Linked DNA regions of Oryctolagus cuniculus. The main gene of each other region encodes a partner of the protein of the gene in region 2 in a complex. Links are inferred from orthologs where the notes say so. Each region holds a gene or a part of one and is shown on either strand. Other genes may lie near its edges. The genes, in order: SCT and SCTR.

The links.
Region 1: the proteins of SCTR (region 2) and SCT are in contact, whole or in part, in a cryo-EM structure (PDB 6WZG), measured with the Homo sapiens proteins. The link is inferred for Oryctolagus cuniculus from reciprocal best matches to the Homo sapiens genes SCTR and SCT. Residues at the interface, in NP_002971.2 of Homo sapiens: Arg30, Leu31, Cys32, Leu35, Asp71, Asn72, Pro117, Val125, Val127, Asn128, Asp129, Asn132, Arg135, His136, Leu139, Leu140, Leu142, Lys143, Tyr146, Tyr150, Arg188, Asn192, Lys195, Leu199, Phe200, Ser202, Asp203, Val205, Met219, Phe222; in NP_068739.1 of Homo sapiens: His28, Ser29, Asp30, Gly31, Thr32, Phe33, Thr34, Ser35, Glu36, Leu37, Ser38, Arg39, Leu40, Arg41, Glu42, Arg45, Leu46, Gln47, Arg48, Leu49, Leu50, Leu53, Val54.

What each region holds. Positions count from the first base shown.
Region 1 is NC_091432.1:249,623-259,641, reverse strand, and holds SCT (secretin), read left to right. Parts: upstream 1-4,561; 5' UTR 4,562-4,591; coding exon 4,592-4,857; intron 4,858-4,954; coding exon 4,955-5,033; intron 5,034-5,146; coding exon 5,147-5,248; 3' UTR 5,249-5,286; downstream 5,287-10,019. Other genes in the region: DRD4 (D(4) dopamine receptor), read right to left, coding at 559-825; CDHR5 (cadherin-related family member 5), read left to right, coding at 6,127-6,232, 6,309-6,484, 6,675-6,725, 7,062-7,154, 7,266-7,367, 7,448-7,558, 7,648-7,818, 8,158-8,248 and 5 more. UniProt on the Homo sapiens protein: Hormone involved in different processes, such as regulation of the pH of the duodenal content, food intake and water homeostasis.
Region 2 is NC_091434.1:117,358,087-117,370,017, forward strand, and holds the start of SCTR (secretin receptor), read right to left. Parts: upstream 7,109-11,931; 5' UTR 6,917-7,108; coding exon 6,848-6,916; intron 1-6,847.

The DNA.
Region 1 (10,019 bases), on a different chromosome or scaffold from region 2:
GGGTGGGGGCGTCGGTCCCCAGGGGCTGGGAGCGGACGGCGCCCCCTGTAAATCCCGCTGCCCGGAGAGGCTGAGCGGCTTAGGCGGCGTCACGGTGACGTCCGTGGGGCCGGGAGCGGCGGAGGTCGCGCTGTCAGGCGCTGCACAATGGCCCCTCCCCCGCAGCCCAGGACAACGCGTCCCCAACCCTAAGCCGCTTTTCTCCGGCCACACTCAGAGCAGAAGCGTTGACACCAACGTGGACCCCTCCCGGGCCAGCACTGGCCTGGGGCGGGGACCCTCGCTCGAGCTCCGCGGTCCGGCCCGGGTCTCCCCTCCGTCCACCCGCTCCTGACCCGTGGGTGCCTAGGCTGGAGGCCTCCCTGCGTGCACGGTGCGCCCGCGTGACCTGGCGCGGGCCTGATGGGAGTGTGTCCGTGCCCGGGGGACCCTGGGGCATTCCCCCCCGCCCGGCCCTGGGACCTCTTGGGTCGCGGACCCCGAGACGGGAGAGAGGGGAGCGCTGGGCGGGGAGCGCAGACGGCAGGGTCCCGGGCGCCCGCGGGGGCGCGGGCTCACCTCGGAGTAGACGAAGAGCGGCAGCACCAGCAGGGCGAGCAGCAGGTCGGCGGCCGCCAGGCTCACGATGAAGTAGTTGGTGGGCGTCTGCAGGGCGCGCTCGGCCGCCACGCTCGCGCACACCAGCGAGTTCCCCGCCAGCACCGCGCCGATGAGCAGCACGCCGCCCGCCAGCGCCGCCGCGCCCCCGGCCCCTAGCCCCGCAGCCGCCCCCGGCGCGCGCCCGGCCGCCAGCCCGCCCGCGTCCGCGGCGCTGCGGTTCCCCATGGCGCGCTGGCCCCGCGCGCCCCGGCGGGCGCCAGCACCGCGGTCAGCGCCCCGCGCGGCCTCCAGGAGTCCCGCCCCGGGCTCGCCCCGCCCGGCCCTAGTCCCGCCCCCGCCCGGCCCAGCCCAGCCCCGGCTCGGGGCCCCTGCGGCTTGGGGCCCGCGCTCCGTGCGCCGCCGCACAGAGGGACGGGGATTCGGCGGCAGCGCCCGGGGAAACCGGGCACCGGCTCGGCCTCCGTCCGCATGTCCGGGAGGCCCGCAGGCCCTTCCCGCACGCTGCCCTCCAGACACCCGCGCAACGCAGAACGACTCCGCGGACGCTGCCCACACCTGGTCCGCTTCCCGCCCCGGAGCGCCCCGCGGCTCGCCTGGCCGACCTCCTCGGTCTCCCCCTGTCGGGGCCGCCGCCTCTGGCCCGGGCTGGTGCTGCGTCGCCCAGGTCGCCTCGCCAGCCGCACCGGACCCCCGCCCGTCCCGAGGAGCCGTGAAGGAAACGCGGGAGCGCTCCCGCCCGGGGAGGGTCCCGGACCCCTGAGAAGACAGCAGATGGCACGCGGATGAGGATCCTCAGCAGGGACTCAACCCGGGTGCGGCTGACATGGGAGCCGTTCTCTGCACAGGGCGGTCCCTGTTCTCACACCGGGTGCACGACCGGGCGCGCGTTACAGAGAACCAGGGGCAGACATAGACCCTGGACGGCGCTCGGAGGGCCGGAGCCACGCGGGGTCTGCGGGGCCGGGACCGCAGGCGCTGGCCGCGAGCCCCCACTCCCACCCCGTGCAGCTCCGCAGGCGGGAGCCCTGTCTTCCCTGTGGTCCGGTGCAGGAGCGGAGCTGGTGCTGTACAAAGGGAGGGGCCGGGCCTGCTCAGGTCTGTGTGGAGCCCCCTCCTCCACCCACCCAGAGTCCACCACTGCTGTTTTATTATTATTATTTTCAAGATTTACTTTCTTATTTGAAATTTGTAGTTCCAAAGAGAGAGAGAGAGAGAATGTTCCGTCCACTGTTCACTCCACAAACGTCCGCAATGGCCGGGGCTGAGCCAGGAGCCTCCTCCGGGTCTCCCACGTGGGTGCAGGGGCCCAAGCAGCTGGGCCGTCTTCCACTGCTTCCCAGGTGCATTAGCAGGGAGCTGGAAGGGAAGAGGAGCAGCCGGGACTCCAGTTGGTGGCCGCGTGGGACGCCGGCCGCTGTGTCTCTCAGCGCACTTGGAGCTCCTTGGCTGGTGCCAGCACGCACACTCGTGGATTCTGCCGGACCTGCAGCCGAAGCAGCGCAAGTTTCCTGACGTCACTGTGGGCGGGCGTTGGGCTTCGTGGTTACCATGCCGGTCGGGACACCCACAGCCCGTGTGAGACTGCCTGGGTTCCTGAGCCCAGCTTCCTGCTAAGGTGCACCCTGGGAGGCAGCAGTGACCACTGGAGTGACTGGGTCCCAGCCCAGTCCTGGCTGCTGGGGGCGGAGGTGGATCGGAGGATGGGAGCCCTGCCTGTCCATCAGTCAATCAATTTTAAAAGGGAGTGGACCATCCTGGAAGAAGGGTGCCCAGAAGTTAGTCTTGGAGGTTGGAGGCGTGGCTCAGAGCTGTCCCAGGCTGGGAAGGGTGTGGCCTCTGGGAGGGGCAGCAGGTGCAGGGGGCCTGACCCTGCCAATGGTTGTACAGCTGCTGCGGGGCCACTTTTGCAGAGGTCGCTGGGATGCCCGGTCACCGGAGTGGGCAGTTGGCACAGCCATTTGGAAGCCGTGACCTGGACCTGAGCGCCTGGGCGGGAGTTCCAGCTCCACTCCTTTTTTTTTTTTTTTTTTTTTTTGTTAACTTTAAGAAAATTTTTTCAGCCTTTAACACTCAGTATTGGGTTAGCAGTTGTTAAGCCATAGCACGTGCATTATTTGTTCAAATAACAATTTAAATTTACATTATAGGGGCCGGCGCCGTGGCTCACTTGGTTAATCCTCTGCCTGCGGCGCCGGCATCCCATGTGGGCACTGGGTTCTAGTCCCAGTTGCTCCTCTTCCAGGCCAGCTCTCTGCTGTTGTCCGGGAAGGCAGTGGAGGATGGCCCAAGTGCTTGGGCCCTGCACCCATATGGAAGAGCAGGAGAAACACCTGGCTCCCGGCTTTGGATCGGTGCAGTGCCGGCCGTGGCAGCCATTTGGGGGGTGAACCAATGGAAGGAAGAACTTTCTCTCTCTCTCTCACTGTCTAACTTGCCTGTCAAAATAAATAAATAAAAATCTTTAAAAAAATTTTACATTATAGTCAAGGGCTTATTGGTTTTGACTCCACTCAGCTCTCTCGCGCGCTCTCTCTCTCTCTCTTTTTTTTTTTTTTTTTTTTTTTTTTTTTTGGACAGGCAGAGTTAGACAGTGAGAGAGAGAGAGACAGAAAGGTCTTCCCTCCGTTGGTTCACTCCCCTAATGGCTGCCACGGCCGGCGCTGTGCCGATCCGAAGCCAGGAACCAGGTGCTTCTCCTGGTCTCCCATGGGGTGCAGGGCCCAAGCACTTGGGCCATCCTCCACTGCACTCCCGGGCCACAGCAGAGAGCTGGCCTGGAAGAGGGGCAACCGGGACAGAATCCAGCACCCCAACCGGGACTAGAACCCGGGGTGCCTGCACCACAGGCAGAGGATTAGCCAAGTGGAGGTGTCGACCCTCCACTCAGCTCTTTTTTAATAAATATTTTCTTTTTATTTAAATATTTGTTTGTTTATTTGAAAGACAGAGTTGTAGAGAAAGAGAGTCTTCCACCTGCTGGTTCACTCCCCAGATGGGGAAACAGGGCTGGGCTGGCCCAGGCTGAGGCCAGGAGGTTCCTCCAGGTCTCCACCTGAGCCGGCCCCCACTGCTTTCCCAGGACACAGCAGAGAGCTGGATAGGAAGTGGGGCAGCCGGGACTCGAACCGGCGCCCACATGGGATGCCGGCCCTGCACAGGGAGGCTTTACCGGCTGTGCCACAGCGCCGGCCCAAAACAACACATCTGAGTGATCCGCGCCAAATAAGTCCCCAAGAGCGAGGACAGGGCAGCGACCCGGCGCCAGGCGCGGTGACGTCGGCGCAGCGGCGCGGGGCGCGGTGAGCACCTGGGGGGGGGGGAGTCCCTCCCCGCCGAGGGGGAGCCGGCCCGGACACCTGCCACGCGGATGGCACCGAGGCCCTGCCCCCTTGTCCTGGACGCTGACCCGGAGGCAGGTCCGCACGGCCGCATATGCAGTGAATTCGGCAAAATCTAAAAAAGTGTCAAATCTCCAATTTAAAAATACTTCTGTGGGCACAGAGGAAAATAAACCACAGTGTACCCCAGAGAAGTGTGTGCTTGTTGTTAATAAGTATCTTAAATTAAAAAAAGGTTGACGTTTCAAATTGTATCACGCATTTCTTTTGTTTATTTGACAGGCGGGGAGACACAGAGGAGGGAGAGGGGAGAGAGAGCGAACCTCCATCTCCCGGTTCACTGCCCGAATACCCGCAAAACCAGGGCTGGCCAGGCCGAAGCCAGGGCTCCATCCGGGTGTCCCCCGTGCGCGGCAGGGTCCAAGCACCTGAGCCGGGGAAGGCTCGCCCTCCCGGACAAGGGGCGCCGCCGTGGCGCAGGGGGCGGGCGCCGGCGCGTGCGACAGCTGGGGGGGCGGCCCCGGCCTGCGGAGACCGGTGGGCGCGGCCGGGCCGCGTGGAGCCGGGGCGGCGCTGGGCGCCCCCGGTCCGGGCGCCGCTATAAAGCGCCGGGGCTGCGGGCGCGCCGGGAATTAGGCCTGCCCGCGCCCACCATGGCCCCCCGGCCCCTGCTGCTGCTGCTGCTGCTCCTGCTGCCGCTCGCGGGCCCCGCCGCGCCCGCGCCCGCGCCCGCGCCCGCGCCCGCGCCCGCGCTGGGCCAGCTCCCCAGGCTGCGCGGCGCCCCTACCCCCGGCCGCGCGCGCCGTCCCCCGCCCCGGGCCCCGCGCCACTCGGACGGGACCCTGACTAGCGAGCTCAGCCGCTTGCGGGACCGCGCGCGCCTACAGCGCCTGCTGCAGGGCCTCCTGGGCAAGCGCAGGTGAGCGTGGGCAGGTGAGGGCGCGACCGGCGCGGGGGAGACCCGGCCTGGGACGGCCGGCCACCTGCGCTCTGACTGGTTGTGTGTGTCTGTGCAGCCAGCAGGACTCCAAGCCCGGCCCAGCCTCCTGGTCCAGGCCCTGCCCGAAGTGGTCCCACTGCCCACCTGCAGGCCTGGTGAGCGCCCTGCTCCTGCCAGCTCCTGTCCCCTGGGACCCTGTGTGTGGGGGTGGGGTTACGGGGAGTCTCCAGCTCCCAGGCCGCAGCCCCCAAGGTGCCTGTCTCCGCAGGAGGCTCCTCGGGCCACCCCTGGGCCCCGCCTGGTCAACCCTGCTGCCTCCTGGGCCCGGGGCTGGGGTCTTGGTTTTGGAGCTGGCCAGCACCGAGACTGAAGCAGCGCCTTGGATGCCCTGATGTTGACCACGGAGAAGGAGGGGGTCCTGCAGGGGGCAGGCGGGGGGGGGTTGTCCTCGCACTAATAAAGGAGGAACTGGGACCCCTGATCCGTGGCTGCCGTGTGGGAGCAGGGCCCCAGAGCTCGGACCACGCCCAGCTGCCCTTTATCCCTGGGAGCCACTGGGCCACCTGCTGTCCATCCTCTGAACTCCCCAGGGTGTGCCCCTCCCCGGGCCTTGCAGTAGGGATGTGGGGGAGAAGAGGGGTGGGGGGAGACGGGGTGGTGGCCCAGGATTCCGGGAGCAGCACCCCGTGACTGCCGGGCTGGCCATGGCGTCCATGCTGGGCGGGGTCCCACCGCAGGCCAGGGATGGACCCCGTCCCTGAGCTCCTCCCTCCTTCCTGGCCTCTCCCTGGCCGCTGGAGGTGTGGGGGTCCCAGGAAGAGATCAGGACCCTCAGAGCCCTGCAGGGGTGCCTGGGACACAGTCGGTTCCTGTGGGATTTAGACGGCGAGGGAGGGGAGGTGGGCCTGGAAGGGAACCCTGGACCCCCGCCTTGCCGTGGGCCTTGCAGCCCCCATCACGGTGCCCCAGGCCGTAGCCCCAGCAGCTCACACCTCGTGCTTTGGCGTCTGTGGGTTGAGCCCCAGGTGACCCTGGGGTGGAGTGGGGGGGCAAGTGACCACCTGGCGTCCCCCTCCTGGCTGCGGCCAGCCCGTGCCCAGCCGGCCGGCGGGATCCCCCCTGGCAGAGGCCAGCCGTGAAGCCATAAAGCAGGGCGGTGCCTGCCAGGGGCAAAGGTCGTGCGAGGCAGGAACTGCAGCAGTCCAGGACGGCAGGGGGACGGACAGACGCCAGACGCCAGCCGGCCGGATGACAGCCACCAGGACGGGGACCTGGCCCCTGCGGTGGCCTCCCCTGCTGCTGCTGCTCCTGGGGCTGCCGGGCCAGCCCTGGGGGGCTGAGGCGCAGACACAGGGCAGGTGCCGGGCAGGGGCGGGGGCGGGGGCGGGGTGGGGGCGGGGCTGGGTGCTGACCCGTGCTGTCCGCTGCAGTCTGCTCCATCAACCAGACCCTCTTCGAGGTGAAGGAGAACTCGGACGTGGCGAAGCCCCTGGTTGACATCTACGTCCCCGATGGCCTGCAGGTGGCCCTCGGCCCCTCGACCACCGCCGCCTCATTCCGGATCCAGGGGACTCAGCTGTTTCTCAGCGCGAGTCCAGACTACGAGGTGGGAGCGGCCCTCCCCCCCCATCCCCTCCCGGGCACAGTTCTGCCAGGCAGTGGCTGATCTGGCGTCGGCCCCGGGCTTGGGGGCTGTGGCCGGCAGCCATCCTCCTGCCTGGGCGGCCGGCCTGTGCAGCGGGGACCGTGTGCTGGGCACTGGGCAGGCGCCTCCCCACGTCCCCCTGCCTCCGCAGGCCGTGACCTTCCTGGAGGCCGACCTGGAGTGCAGGAGAGGGACCACGGTGGTGAGTCCGCCCCTCCCAGCCCCTCCCACGCTAGAGTGCAGGGATGAGCTCACCCAGGGCACGCTTCCCCGGCCACACCCGAGACCCGCGGCCCGGCGCCCCGGCACCCATACCCTGGCCTCAGCCACCAATATGTCTGGAACTTCCGACTGGCCTGCTTGCTCCCTTTACCCCGGCCCACCTCAGCCCCCTCCTCGGTGGCGGCTGGGATGCCGGCCACACCCAGGGCCGGGACCCCACAGGGGTTCACAGCGCCCTGGCCCCAAGAGTGAGGGAAGGGGGGAGCGGGCTGGGCACCCCGGGGACCCTCAGGGAGACGCCGGCCACGCCCTGCAGGTGACGAGGCTGCGAGTGTTCGTGACCGTGCTGGACGTCAACGACAACCTCCCCACGTTCCCCTTCGACACCCTGCAGAAGGGTGTGGAGGAGGTTAGCCCGGTGGCGCCTCGGGGCCGGCCCTGGGGGCTGGGGGCTGGGCCAGGGGCTTGCCCCTGGGGTCTCCAGTGTGGCCCACCCCAGCCCACCCCTGTCCATGCCCAGGATACGAAAGTGAACTCCACAGTCATCCCCGAGACAGAACTGGAAGCCAAGGACCTCGACGAGAGCGACACCTTGTTCTACACACTCCAGGAAGTGACCCCGGTCCGTGCTGCCCCGGCCCCCGGCAGACACCAGCCTGTGCCCACCCCCCAGCCTCTCAGGTCACGTCCCCCTCTCTTCAGGGTGCTGGGCACTTCTTCTCCCTGGCGGGCGCAAACCACCCTGCCCTAAGGCTGGACCGGACCCTGGACTTCGACAGGTGGTCAGAAATGACCTTCCGGCTGCTGGTGCGGGTGAGCAGGCCCCACCAGCCCCGGGTGCTGGACACTGGACACTGGGGCCCCAGTGAGGCTGCTGCCCGCCTGACCAGTGGCTACTGCAGGACACCCAGCAGGAGAACGAGCTGCCCAGCCACACGGCCACGGCCACCCTGATCCTGAAGGTGCTGCCCGCTGACCTGCGGCCACCCTGGTTCCTGCCCTGCAGCTACTCAGATGGCCACGTCTGCATCCAGGCCCAGTACCAGGGGGCAGTCCCCACGGGGCACACGCTGGTAACGGGGTGCTGCCGCCGGCCCGGGCGGGGTCAGGGCGGGCTTGGGTCCTCCCAGCTTTGGTGACATCCAGCCGTGGGCACTGGGCCCTGGGCCCTGTTGGGCACTGCCGAGCAACTCCCTCCCCAGCCACCAGGGGGCAGTGGGCCCTGGCTGGGCAGTGCACGGGAGGCAGGAGTCCAACTTCCCTGTGAACATTCCTGCTGACCCAGCATTCAGATGTCCCTGAGACTCGGGCCTGGCAGGGACATGTGGCCATTGGCCAACTGGGCCCCGCCGCGGCCCCGGCTGGCCACCACACCCGTCCCACAGTGTCCCCTCCCCTGGCCGTCCCCACAGCCAGGTCCCCTCACCCTACGCCCTGGACCCATCTACGCTGAGGACGGAGACTCGGCCATTGGCCAGCCCATCATCTACAGCCTGCTGGGGGGTGAGTGAGGCCCTGTCCCCAGCCCCATCCCCACCTGGGCCCAGCCAGGATGTGAGGCTGACCACCTGCTCACCCTCCCAGGAAACCAGGGCGGCGTGTTCGCCATCGACGCCAACTCGGGCCACCTCACCATGGCCAGCAGCATCCCCAGCCCCACGACCTTCGTCCTGCTGGTGAAGGTGGGTGCCGGCATTGTGTGGGGTGGGGTCCCCCGGCCCTCCTGCACCCTGACCCCGTGCACCCCCTGTCCCCCAGGGCGAGCAGGCCGACCTGGCCAGGTATTCCGTGACCCAGGTCACCGTGGAGGCCCGTGCGGCCACGGGCAGCCCACCCCGCTTCCCCCAGAGCCTGTACCAAGGCACGGTGGTGCCCGGCTCCGGCGCCGGCACGGTGGTCAGGGACGCAGTTTCCCCGGCTCAGCCGCTGAGGATCCAGGCTCAGGACCCCGACTTCCCGGTACACGGAGCTGCCCGCTGGCTCGGGGGGGGGGGTCCCTGGCCTTCCCTGGGACAGAGCGTGCAGGACTGACTGGGGCCGTGGCAGGACTTCAACTCAGCCATCACGTATCGCGTCACCAACTGCTCAGAGTTCCAGATGGAGGGCGAGACCATGCTGACCACCACCCAGCTGCCCCACGCTTCGGTCTTCTATGCAGAGGTGCAGGGCGGGGCGTGGCCAGCGAGTCCCGGGGGGGAGGTGAGGAGGGTCTCAGGCAGGACTAGCCCCTTCCTATGCCAGGTGGAGGCCACCAACACGGTGACCACAGCCACGGCCACCACTGTTGCCGAGATCCGTGTCTCTGAGCAGGAGGCCCCCTCCACAGGTGAGCTCCAGAGAGCCAGGGCAGGCTGTCCCCACCCCCAGGGCACGGGTGCCGGGGAGCTGAGGCAAGCCCATTGCTGCCCCTGGCCCCTCAGGCCGCCCGGACGCCTCCACTGCCCCAGAGACGGGAGAAATGACAGGGACCTCACAGGGGCCTCCCCAGACCGCTTCAGCCACGCCTGGGGGATCCCCCTCCCCCAGGCCAACCACGACCAGGGGCTCAACGCAGACCCTGACCCCAGGAACCTCTCGGCCGACATCTCCAGATGTGGGGTCCCCCTCCTCCACGCCAACCACAACTAGGAGCTCAACACAGACCCTGACCCCAGGAACCTCTCGGCCGACATCCCCGGATACGGGGTCCCCCTCCTCCATGCCAACCACAACCAGGGGTTCAACACAGACCCTGACCCCAGGAACCTTTCGGCCGACATCCCCGGATACGGGGTCCCCCTCCTCCACGCCAGGCACAACCAGGAGCTCAACACAGACCCCGACCTCAGGAACCTCTCGGCCCCCAACCCCAGGAATCTCTCGGCCCCCAACACCAGGAACCTCTCAGCCAACATCCTCAGGTGTGGGGCCCCCCTCCCCCATGCCAGCCACAACCAGGGGCTCAGCACAGACCCCAACTTCAACAACCCTGCCTGGGCCCAGCTGGAGCCCTACCCCCAGGCTAGGGAGAGCAGCAGGGGGACCCTGGGCCAGCCGCCCCACACAGGCATCCTGGGGCAGTACCTGGGGTGTGGGGAGGTGGCAGGTAGACAGCCGTGTGCAGCAGGAGGAGGCTGACCAGGGCCCCTTCTGGTCTGAGAAGGAGTAGTTGCCGGCATCGGGCATTGAGCCAACAGCATAGCGGTCCACCCCAGGGCCCGGGGCCGTCCTTGTGGCCCTGCCCACCATGCTGGCAGCAGGTGGCACCAACCCTGCCTGGTCCCTCTGGCTGGCA
Region 2 (11,931 bases):
AGGATAATCAAGTCCTTTATATAAAAGTCATGTATTAACATGTAACCTACACACATCCTCGTGTGTGTGTGTGTAATGAGAGACAGACTGACCAAGCACCTATTGTTGGCTCACTCCTCTAACACCTACAACAGCTGAGGCTTGGAATGCAATCCAAGTCCCCATGTGGGTAGCAGGGACACAAATAGGTCATATTTCTTAAAAATATGAGAGTAGTACAAAAATTGTGGAAAAGTGGAATCAAGACAAATTTATTTTTGCACCTTTTTTTAAAATCCATGCATTTGTTCATAATGTACATTTTCTGTGAACTTTTCAAAGACCCTTTGTATAGTAATTGTCAAGAGAGCTGGCCTTGGCACAGCGCCACACACTTGTGCCCTTGTCCTCTTCCTTGTGGGACTCATCCAGACTTAGCTGAAGCCCACGGTCTCTGGCACTGGCTGGTTTTTCCGTGGAAGGGCTTGAATGGGAAAATCCACCTGCAGGTTGGCAGCCATTGCCCTTCAGCTCATCAGTAGCCACACTTCCGGTTTCGAGCCACTTTGAAAGTAACATTACTCCTCAAATGTGAGAAAGCGCCAAACAGGCACAGTCTTTTCAGTAATTTAAGGAACTATTATCTATTAAATGTTACAAAAATGGCCGGCGCCGCGGCTCACTAGGCTAATCCTCCGCCTTGCGGCGCCGGCACACCGGGTTCTAGTCCCGGTCGGGGTGCCGGATTCTGTCCCGGTTGCCCCTCTTCCAGGCCAGCCCTCTTCTGTGGCCAGGGAGTGCAGTGGAGGATGGCCCAGGTGCTTGGGCCCTGCACCCCATGGGAGACCAGGAAAAGCACCTGGCTCCTGGCTCCTGCCATCGGATCAGCGCGGTGCGCCGGCCGCAGCGCGCCGGCCGCGGCGGCCATTGGAGGGTGAACCAACGGCAAAAGGAAGACCTTTCTCTCTGTCTCTCTCTCTCTCTCTGTCCACTCTGCCTGTCAAAAAAATAAAATAAAAAAAAATAAAATAAAATAAAAAAAAAAAGAAATGTTACAAAAATGCTCAGATTCTTTGGTCAATTAAATACTCTACTTCTGAGAATCTGCACCTAAGACACCGGCCACCAGGGGGCAGCCTTGTGTCTAGAGTGCATATGGACCGAGGCTAGGTTAACTTGAGCAAGTTGAGTGGCGGATGGGGAACTGTCTGTGCAGAAGAGAGTGCAGAGTAAGTGATGTAGTTGTCGCTGTCACTTCGGGAGGAAGCTCCTGGAGATGAGGGTGGGGTGGGTAGGCACAGGGACTGGCAGTGGGAAGGGTGCAATGGACTGCTTATGTCCTCCCCTTGCCCCAAATCTACATGTTGAAGCCCGAACCTTCAGCAGGGCTGCACATGGAGGGAGGACCCATAAGGAGGGAATTTGGGCTATATGTGAGGGGAGGGCGCCGATTCCAGGGTCTTTGTAAGAATAAACACCAGAAAATGCAACCCAGCCCCCTCTCAGGAGAGGCCGGCTGGAAACAAAGCCACCTGCCAGCCAGGAAGGAGCCCCTCACCGACAAGACACTGAACCCCATTGGCCTTGATCTTGAACTTCTGACTTCCGGCCTCCAGAATTGTGAAAGTCAATTTCTACAGTGTCAGCTCCCAGGCTGGCATTTAGTGATGATGGCCTGGGACAAACAGGAAGGAAGCAGACAGAGGGGATAGTGTAGACCCAACGACCAGGGCAACATGTAGGTCAGAGGAAACTCAGCCAAGTGTCCTTGACCGTCAGCAAGTGGGAGGCAACCCCTCTGTGTTGAAAATGACAGGGGAGGGGGCGGTCAGGAATTTGAAGCACCTCAGAGAGCCTGGGTAAGGAAGCCAGGTGGGCCATGGCAGGGTGGGGTCTGGATAGGGCTCCTGGCAGCACGGTGCAGGCTGCGATCAGCCAGGAGCCCCCTTCACAGAGGCCCCTCGGCATCTGTCAGACATAGCATGCTGAGGATAGTCTCATTTCCCAAGTGCACACGACACGGAGCCTTCTGTTTGTCATGTAACCAAGCAGATAGGATCGGAGTGTTGTGCCTTTCACCCTGGGCTGCGCCAGGTCCCAGGAGCCCGAGGGCAGGTCAGCCGGGAGAACTCTCAGTGTACAGAGGGCATGAGGCGGGGAGTGAGGCTGGGGTAGCTGGAGGGACGGCTCCCCTGCCGCGTGGAGCTCTGATGCTAGATGTGAAATCTGAGCATTCCACAAGGGCTGCCGAGAAGCGAGGCTATCCTCTCCCTGGGCGCGGGAGGGAATCTGGGTTGTAACTGGGGAGAGGGTGGAGGCAGGGGAGCTCTGTGGGACCCCAAAAGGAGGTGCCAAGGCAAGACATGGACTCCTCCAAGCAACGCGGGACGCGGTATCTCCTGTTTGTGCCACTTGGCACCCTTCCTCCCCAAGTTCAACTCCAGCCCCTCAGTAAGTGTTGTGTAATGTGTTTTCCATTTACAAGGTGACCTGGTGAAATAGGCATTAATGTTAGTGTGAGGACTGGGAGAGACTTTTATGAAAGCCTTTTGTGCTTGAGAAACATAGAGCAGTGCTCTCCACTGGAGCAGCCGGAAGATGTGCCCGAGAAGAGCACTGGGACCCGAGTCCTGTGCCACCGCGTCTGGCTGAGCGGCCGCGAGCACACGGCTTCCTCCCCCGCCCCCTGAGCCTCAGCCTTCTCATCTGCACAATGGGGGAAGGGATCACCCGTGTGAAAACCAGACGAGATGGTGCTGGGGCGGACTTCGCAGAGTCTTGTGTGAAACAAGAGCTCGGTAAGGGAAGCCTTTATCATCCACCACCACCATCATCACTCACCCCAAACGTTTAGGGATGGTAAAAGCATAAAAAGAAATCCACAAATACTCCTTCAAAATGCATCCGGAGTAGCATTTCGCACACCCACAGCCCATATCAGAGCCCTGGGTTTCCGTTCCGGCTCCACTGCTGATTCTAGCTTCCCGCTAATGCTCAGCCTGGGAGGCAGTGGGTGATGGCTCAGGTAGTGGGGTCACAGGGGAGACCCGGGTGCAGTTCCAAGCTCCTGGTTTCAGCCTGGTGAGCCCCAGCTGTTGAGGGCATTTGGAGGACAAATGAACCAACAGGCAGGAGCTCCCTCCTTCCCTCTCTCGTGCCCTGCCTCCCTCCCTCTCTCTTTCTCTCTCACTCTCGCTCTCGCTCTGTGTGTGTGCATGAGTGTTGCTCTCTTTCTCTCTGCCTTTCAAATAAATAAATAATTTTTAAGGTAGCAAGTGATTTTCTCAGGCATACAAAAGAATCCCCAGGGACCTTCTTCTGAAGGGTCACCCATGACCTGTTCCCCAGCTCCCCTGGGATCCCTACTGGCCTTCCTCCAGGCTGCCCACTGCACCACCACAGGCCTGGTCAGCACCACAGATGGGGACAGGGCCACCATGCCCATAGGCTTCTATGCACCAGACCCCATAGTCAGAGGGTTGGTTTGTTTGTTGTTTGTTTAGAACCATCCACTGTGGTGGGGGTGGAGGGAGGAAGGGAAGATGGAAACGATCCAGGAACCCACCCCTCACAGAAGGCTTCCAGGCTTGCACCAGGTGCACCTGTTTCTGTCACTGGACTCCAGTCCAGTCACCACTCCCACAGCTGTGAATCCAACACAAGCCCCTACGACGAGCGCCATGACTGCACCTCCTCGGACACCCAGCAGTGGTTCTCAGCCTGGGCATAGTGGGTAAAGCCGCCGCCTGCAGGGCTGGCATCCCCTATGGGTGCCTGTTTGAGTCCCGGCTGCTCCACTTCTGATCCAGCTCTCTGCTATGGCCTGGGAAAGCAGTGGAAGATGGCCCAAGTCCTTGGGCCCCTGCACCCACATGGGAGACCCAAAGAGGCTCCTGGCTTCGGATTGGCACAGCTCTAGCCGTTGTGGCCAGTTGAGAGTGAAACAGCAGATGGAAGACCTCTCTCTCTGCCTCTCCTTCTCTATGTAACTCTGACTTTCAAATAAATAAATAAATCTTTAAAAAAGAAAGAAAGCAAGCCTGCTTGGAGAAAGAAACAGCCCATGTACCCCACTTCACTCATTGGAGTTCCAAGTTGGCCGTTTGCCAGGCGCCATGGACTAAGAAGCCTGGATTCAAGTGACCGTTTTTCCACTGATGGACACATGTATGTGCAATTTAGCAAGCAGAGGTTGCTTTCAGGATGTGGCCTTTCACCCCTTGTCATTCAACACACTCCCTGAGCTCCCCCTACCCCATGGCAGGCCCTAGGGATAAGGGATAAACAAGACAACGCTCAAGATCAAGGTGAGCGTATTGGAGGGTGTGTGGTGGGGACAGATGTGTTGGAGAATAATTAGAATAACGTTTGTAAATATTCTCCTGAGATGCACGGGGGCAGAGGCGGCATGAGGATGTGCGCTCAGGGCTCCTTACAGGAAGCCTAGGAAGCTGCCCCTTGGGGCGGGTGCCGTGGTGCAGTGGGTTAAGCCGCCGTCTGGAAGCCCGCATCCCACATCAAAGTGCCTGGTCCAGCTCTGTGCTAATGTGCACCCTGGGAGACAGCAGGTGATGGCACAAGGACTTGGGTCCCTGCCACCTACGTGGGAGACCTGGATGGAATTCCTGGCTCCCGGCTTCAGCCTGGCCCAGCCCCAGCTGTTTTAGCAGCCATGTGGGATTTAACCAGCAGATGGAAGATATTTACTGCCTCTCTCTCTCTCTTTCTCTGTCAGCTTTTATAATAAAAAATTAATACATAAAGGTTTTTAAAAGATCTATTTATTTAATTAAAAGGCAGAGTTACAGAGAAAGAAAGGGAGAGAGACACAGAGAGAGATCTTCCATCAGTGAGTTCACTCCCCCAGATGGCTGCAACAACTGGGGCTGTGTTCAGTGCCCACCTCTGGCTCCTGACCCCAGCTTCCTGCTAACATGGACCCTGGGAGGCAGCAGTGATAACTCATGTGATTAGGTTCCTGCCACTCACTAGAGAGACCCGGATTGAGTTCCTAGTTCTTGGCTTTGGCCATGGACCGGCCCAGTCATTGTGAATATTTAGGGAATGAACCAGCGGATAGGAGCTTTCTCTGTCTCTCTTTCTGCCTGCCTCTTATAAGGAAATAAATAAATAAAATTTATCCTAAACATATTTGAACCCCTTAAATTTTGAGATCAGATATTTTACCACCCAGGGTGAAACAGGAGGAAAGCAGAGCTTCAAAGGCTGGGAATACGCCAGTGAAAGTAGGTCAATTCCACACCTATTCATTGAAGCAATTTCTCTGTGAAGAAGTGTGAGACACAACCCTTGTCCTGCATAAGCCAAAGGACCACAACCTGCACACAGGGACTCCAAGGCATTAACACGTGAGTGTGTGGAAATGTCACGGAAACCCAAGAGGGCATAACGCACAGAGCCCCCGGTGGCTGGGAAATCACGGGATCTGGGTTCAAGTCCCAGCTGTGCTCCTAAACTTGCACATCTCAGGCAGGTAGCTTCCTTCTCCCCGTGAGTCTCCCTTTGCTCATTTGTAAAATGAGGCCACTGAACCAGAGCCTAAGGAAGCATCTTTGCAAGGCACACTGAAGATCTGCGTGGAGAAAAGTCTTCTCATTTCCCCCTCTGCTTATCCCTGAGAGAGCCTGAGGGTCGCCTGGAGACGTAGGCTCATCCTCAGTCCTACAGCCCAGGTGCCAGGTAAGACAACCTGAGGGTTACTGCAAGCATTTAGCAAGGAGTCGGGGTGGCTCTAAAAGAGGCAGCACTGTCTTTCTCCGCCCTAGCCGCTGAGTAACACATCTCCTGGCTGTATTTGGCTTTGAGCTGCTCCCAGGGCCCCAGGGGGGCAGCCCCCCCAAATTGCGGTGGATGCACTTGAGAGATGAGGCTTGGAGCTTGCAGGGGAGCTGGGAGTGAGCCCCAAATTGCATTTTTTCTAAGCTACTGCTGCTAGAATGTCAGGGAGCTGCTGGCTGGGCACCCCACAAGTGCCACGGCTGTCACCCACTCCCCTTAAGAATCTCACAGGAGTAGGTTCTGGAAGACAAAGAGCCAGGACCCCAGGAGCCAGAGATGGAAGGTTCAGAATTGAGTCCCCAAGCTCTTGTGGGACCCCAAGCCCTTGGGGGCCCCTTTGGAATGCCAGGGAGGAGGGGTGGTTCTAGAATCTGCCCCCCCCCCCCAGCCCTCGTCCTCAGCTCTTCCATCGTGCCCGCCTGCAAGTAGCCACTCTCTCACTAAGACAGACCTCAGAAGCCCCAGACTCTCAGGAGCTTCTGTGGGCAAGAATAGCAAACTCCCCCCACTCCGCCCCTTCTTTCCTCTCACGCCGTCGCGTCTGTGGGCCGTCTGTGGGGAGTGGCCGCTCCCAGGAGCTGCCAGACCCATCTAGGACCCGAGCACCCAGGACCCGGGAGAGGCAGCACTACAGCGGCCATCGCGAACCCTGGAGCTGTGGCCACAGCCCCCGGGAAATGTCAAGGCTTCAGGGCGGGCCCCGCGGACGGCTGTTTGTTCCCACCCTCCTTTCCTGGCACCGGGCATGTTTCTGTCTTTCCGTGCCAAGCTCTGGTTTGTCGGCTGGGAAAAGCAGCGATGAGGCTGCTAGGACATTTTGGAGGCACAGCGGCCAGCGGCGCTTGAGAGGCTTGAGAGATTTTCGTCTAGGACGCGTGGGCAGGAGGGAGCGGTGGGGCGGAGGGCGAGGGGGTCCCGGAGCCGCCTGCTGCAAGCCGTACAAGCCGCTGTTATTCCTGAAGAGCAGACCGTCTATTGTTGGGATGGGGCGGAGGCAAGGCTTGTCCCCCGCCACCTTCATCTCGCGTGGGACTCGGGGCCCCAAGCCGGCGGAGCGCGCCGTACTCACCGAGTGGGCGGCGCAGGCGAACCCCAGCAGCAACCACAGCCCCAGCGGCGGCCCCGGGCGGGGACACATGTTGCCCCGCGCGCCCCTCGACAGCCGCCGGCAGGTGCGCTCGACCAGTTTGTGAGCTCAGGGCCCCGGACAGGGTACCGGGTCCCGGGCAGCCGCAGAGCTTGGAGGAGCCATCCTGGGCGGACGCGGTGGCTGCACGCTCTGCGCTCTGGGGCCCATAGATAAGGACGTTGCGCTAGGGGCGCTCCTCCGTCCAGCGCAGACTGGCTGGGGGCAGACGGGGGGAGGAGGCAGAGGCAGGGCGCGGTGCTGGAGCTGGCGCCCGCAGGCTCTGCCCAGCCATCTACGCCGCAACCCGCCCTCTCCCCAACACCCCCACCACCCCGGAGTCATGCAACCCAGAAGCTCAAAGAGGGAGCCCAGGTCTAGACCTTCACGGCTAAGCCTGAGCCTCTGTGGCTGACTTGGGCGTGAGAGCCAGCTGTGACAGTTGTGCCATCACAGCTGTTAGTACCGCTGCGTCCCAGAGACTGTTGATGAGGTTGATACATCCCAGCAGAGGATAAGGGAGGACACTTTCAACGTCTAAGTCCAAAATCAAAGCTCGGTACACATCCCCCACAAAGTGTACATAACCACTGACTCCCTTCTAGGAATGTTAAAAAGATTATGTTATATTTGAAAAGCAGAGGGACAGTGAGGAGAGACTTTCCAACCACTGGTTCACTCCCTAAATGGCCCCAATGGCGAGAGCCAGGAGCCAGGAACTCCATCCGGTCCTCCCAGGTGAGTGGCAGGGGACCAAGCTCTTGGACCATCATCCACACCGCCTTTCAGGCACATTAGCAGGAAGCTGGATTGGGAGTGGCGTAGCGGGAACTCCTGCTGGTGCTTCGATATGGGTTGTCAGTGATTAACCGATGAAGTGCAATGTTAGCCCTCCTTCTGGGAATGTACTCCACACAAATACTCACCAAAGGGTCTGATGGAACATGTTGGGGGGAGCCTTGTGGAAACACCCTTACAGAAGCAGACAAGGTCAAGGGAACCCCGAGGCTTGCCCTTGATGGTTCCTCAGAGTGAGCAACCATTAGTCTGATCCTTTTTCTGCCTCTAAACACAGACACACACACACACACACACACACACACACCCCTGAGGTGAGCTCCCCATCGCTGATTCCCTTGGCATAAGGAACGGGCGTGAGTTCTGCACCCTCTTCTCTTCTTCCATGGACAAGCTCACCCAGCCTCCTACACAGAGCCAACGGGAGGATAGCCCTGGGCGAGGCTGGCCCTATGCTGGCCCAGTCCTACCAGTGACAGAGTAATGTTCTCTCTCAGCTGGGGTGTGCTGTTAGAAAGCCTTCTTGCCCATAAGCATAAATCACGTTCTCCAAAGCCAACTCGATCACTAACAGAAGTGGTACTCGGCCTTGTCTGTCTGAGTCTTATTTCTCAGTTGGTCCAAGATGCATTCAGGCTGGGAAGAAAAAAGAATGTCCTTCAAACCCCAACACCCTAAATGTGCATCAGTAAGCATGTGATACGGACTTGTAATGTGTATGTACAGACTTTTGCATTGCTTTCATGTTCTCTCTCTCTCCCTCTCTCAAATGTACTTATTATTTGAAAGGCAGAGTTACAGACAGAGAGAGAGAGAGAGAGAGAGAGGTCTTCCATCTGCTGGTTCACTCCCCAAATGGCTGTAATGGGCTGATCCAAAGCCAGAAGTCTGGAGCTTCTTCTGGGCCTCCCACACAGGTACAGGGGTCCAAGGATTTGGGCCATCTTCCACTGCTTTCCCAGGCTATAGCGGAGAGCCGGATCGGGAGTGGAGCAACCAGGACTCAAACCAGCACCCATATGGGATGCTGGCACTGCAGGCTTTATCCGCTAGGCTCCACACCAGCCTCACTTGCTTTTTTTTTGTTTGTTTAAGATTGATTTATTTGAGAAGCAGAGTTACAGAGAGAGAGGGAGGGAGAGACAGAGAAAAAGGTCTTCCATCCACTGGTTTACTCCTCAAATGGCTGCAATAGCCAGAGCTGTGCTGATCCGAAGCCAGGAGCTGGGAGCTTCTTCCGGGTCTCCCACATGGTAGTCTTCCCCAAGTCTTCTCCTGTGTGAGAGACCCAGAAGAAGCTCCTGGCTCCTGACTGCAGATCAGAGCCCCTCTGGCCATTGTGGCCAATTGGGGAGTGAACCAGCAGATAGAAGACCAACCTTTCTCTCTCTGCCTCCTCTCTCTGTGTAACTGTCTTTCAAATAAATAAATAAATAAATCTTTTTTAAAAAATAAAAGCTAAGCAAGGCTCAGGCCAATTGTGCAACCCATAAATGCCCCCATTGAAATGGATCCATTCCACTGAAATGTGAACGTGGAGGTGGACAGTGTCCAGGGTGCAGGGTTTGGGGGCCATTTAGCCAAGGCTCTTGGTTCCTAGCTGTAACTGCACACTTGTGCAGAAGATCTGACAAGTGCTCTTTCTCCATTGGCTATAAACAGCTACCGTGTATGAAGGATTGCATCCGCCTGGCCATATAAAATGGTGCGATTTTTATTTGTCTTTGCAGTCTTCCAGATCACCGAGGGTGCACGACGCGGTCTGGCTCGATGCTGACTCAGTAGTAGAGCTGTGCCTTTCTTTTCTTCCTTTTATGGAGAACACTCATGATGTAGCAGGAGATGCTACTTGTAATTATTTCTTCAACCACATTTTATATTTTGGGTTTTTTTAAAAATTATTTCTTTATTTTGCATTTCTCTAAAGGCAATAAACACTTGTTGGGAAACTAAGGCTCGTTGTTGACTATTTCCGGAGCACCTGCTCTGCTGCAGGTGCTGTGCTAAGATGACAGAGGCCTGGGGAAGTTACCTTCAGCAAGCTCAGGCCCATGCGGGAAGCTGTGCTGCTGAGAGTGCACCCGATTCCCAGAGGCCCAGGAAGGCGACTGGGGCTGGCATCCAAGATTTACAAGATGGCCACAGCCACGCACTTCTCAGACCTGCTGGCTGGCTGACATAGCAACCACAGTGTGTACCAAATGAAACTACAAATGGTGGGGCTGACGCTGTGGCGTAGTGGGTAAGGCCGCTGCCAGCAGTGCCGGCATCCCATATGGGCGTCAGTTCAAGTCCCGAGTGCTCCACTTCCAATCCAGCTTTCTGTTATGGCCTGGGAAAGCAGTAGAAGATGGCCCAAGTCCTTGGGCCCCTGTGCCCGTGTGGGAGACCCAGAAGAAGCTCCTGGCTCCTGGCTCCTGGCTCCTGGCCTTGAATTGGCACAGTTCCAGTCATTACAACCAACTGGGGAGTGAATCAGCAGATGGAAGACCTCTCTCTCTCTCTCTCTCTCCCTCTCTCTCTCTCTCTCTCTCTCCTTCTCTCTCTGTGAAACTCTGACTTTCAAATAAATAAATAAATCTTTAAAAACAAAAACATGAAGCTACAGATGGCGATACATTCTCTGAGAGCATATTGTACGGGACCAGACAGAGCAGGTGGAGTCATTAAATCTGACTCATGTTAGTCACCGTTCTGGTGGGTCAGATGTATCTGAGTGAGAGCACTTTTATAGGAGTCAATGTGGTAGGTTTCTGTTGGTTTTCGCCCATCTAACCTCCATTCTCTTTCCTTCTGATAGAAGAATCTCTCAGACCCTCACTCACAGTGTGGCTGGCAGTTGGGGAGACTTTTCACCAAGAGCAGCCCAGGAGGGAGCACAAGAGCTGGACCTGGGCAAAGAGATTCAGCCCATCTACCCTCCTCCTGCCTGCAGCTCACCACACAGCCATTAATCGGGGATGGGCATGTGACTGGATGTGCCACAGACAAAGCCTGTGTCGGCAGTAGGATCAAGCTAACTGCAAGGTACAGCCTGTGGCACAATATGAGGAGGTGCTGGTGAGAATGAAGCCAGTCTGGGTGGGGAAGATCCAAGAGCTGGAGAAACCAGTCCCGGAGAGCAGCATCTGGCTCCTAGACGCAGATGTTCCTGAAGCCCCTCCCTCACCCCCGCCCCTGCCAGCTCTGCCTCTCCGAATGTGGGGTGTGTGTGAGTCAGTTTCCATCACTTCTAACGGGAGATTCCCTGACTTATACTTAAGGAAGCCTTCCCCAGGCTTTTGAGCCAGAGGGACTGGTTGGGGGTGGGATGGGGGGAGTGGAGCAAAAAGAACAGTGGAGAAAGAGGGAGTAATTGGCTACCCCTGGGTATCTGGGTCTCAGGTCTTCACCAAGTGACTGTGTAAGTGCAAGGCTCTTGCTCTGCCCCTTTGAGGACTGAATAAACCAAACAAAGAGAGCTGTCCCCTCCTGAATGGCAGCTTTCCTAGGAGCCCAGCTAATGTATTATTGATGAGCCATAAAGAATGGGGCAAGCGTGATTTCCTATTCAGTCCTCAAGTACAAAGGCATAATGCTGACATTTTAATGAGGTTTTTATGGCCCAGGCTCACTGTTTACAATCTGGAAATGTAGGCTGGCTTTCTCAGGAAAGCCGTATTTCCTTTACTTTTTCTATTTTCCTCTTCCATCTGTCAGCGTCCTTTTGAATATTTATATGAAATATTGTAGTTAACACAGACCAAATAAAAGAAAGCAAATAAAGCCAGATCGGAAAGACAATGTTGCTAGCATGCCCAAGGTCTTCTCCTTGCTGGGTGGAGCAAAGAAAGTCAAGTGCACCCCCCCCCCAGACCCTTCCAGAGTCTGGGAAGGCAATGCACAACAGACAAACCCGGGGTTCAAACCCTGCCTGATTCTCCAATTAGCCATGTGAAACACGGGGAAAGTCATTTGAGCCCTCCAAGCCTCAGTCTCCTCCACATAATTGGAAAAAGCATACTCATCTTTCTGCATTGCCGTTTGGTTGAACATAATTCAATGAGGTGGCCTGGTGATGTAAGCCAGCACCCCACATCAGAGCGCCGGTTTGAATCCTGGCTGCTCCACTTTTGATCCAGCTCTCTACTAATGCACCTGGGAAGGCAGTGGATGACGGTCCAAGTACTTGGGCTCCTGCTCCCCACGTGGGAGACCTAGATGGAGTCTTTTGCTCCTCGTGTCAGCCT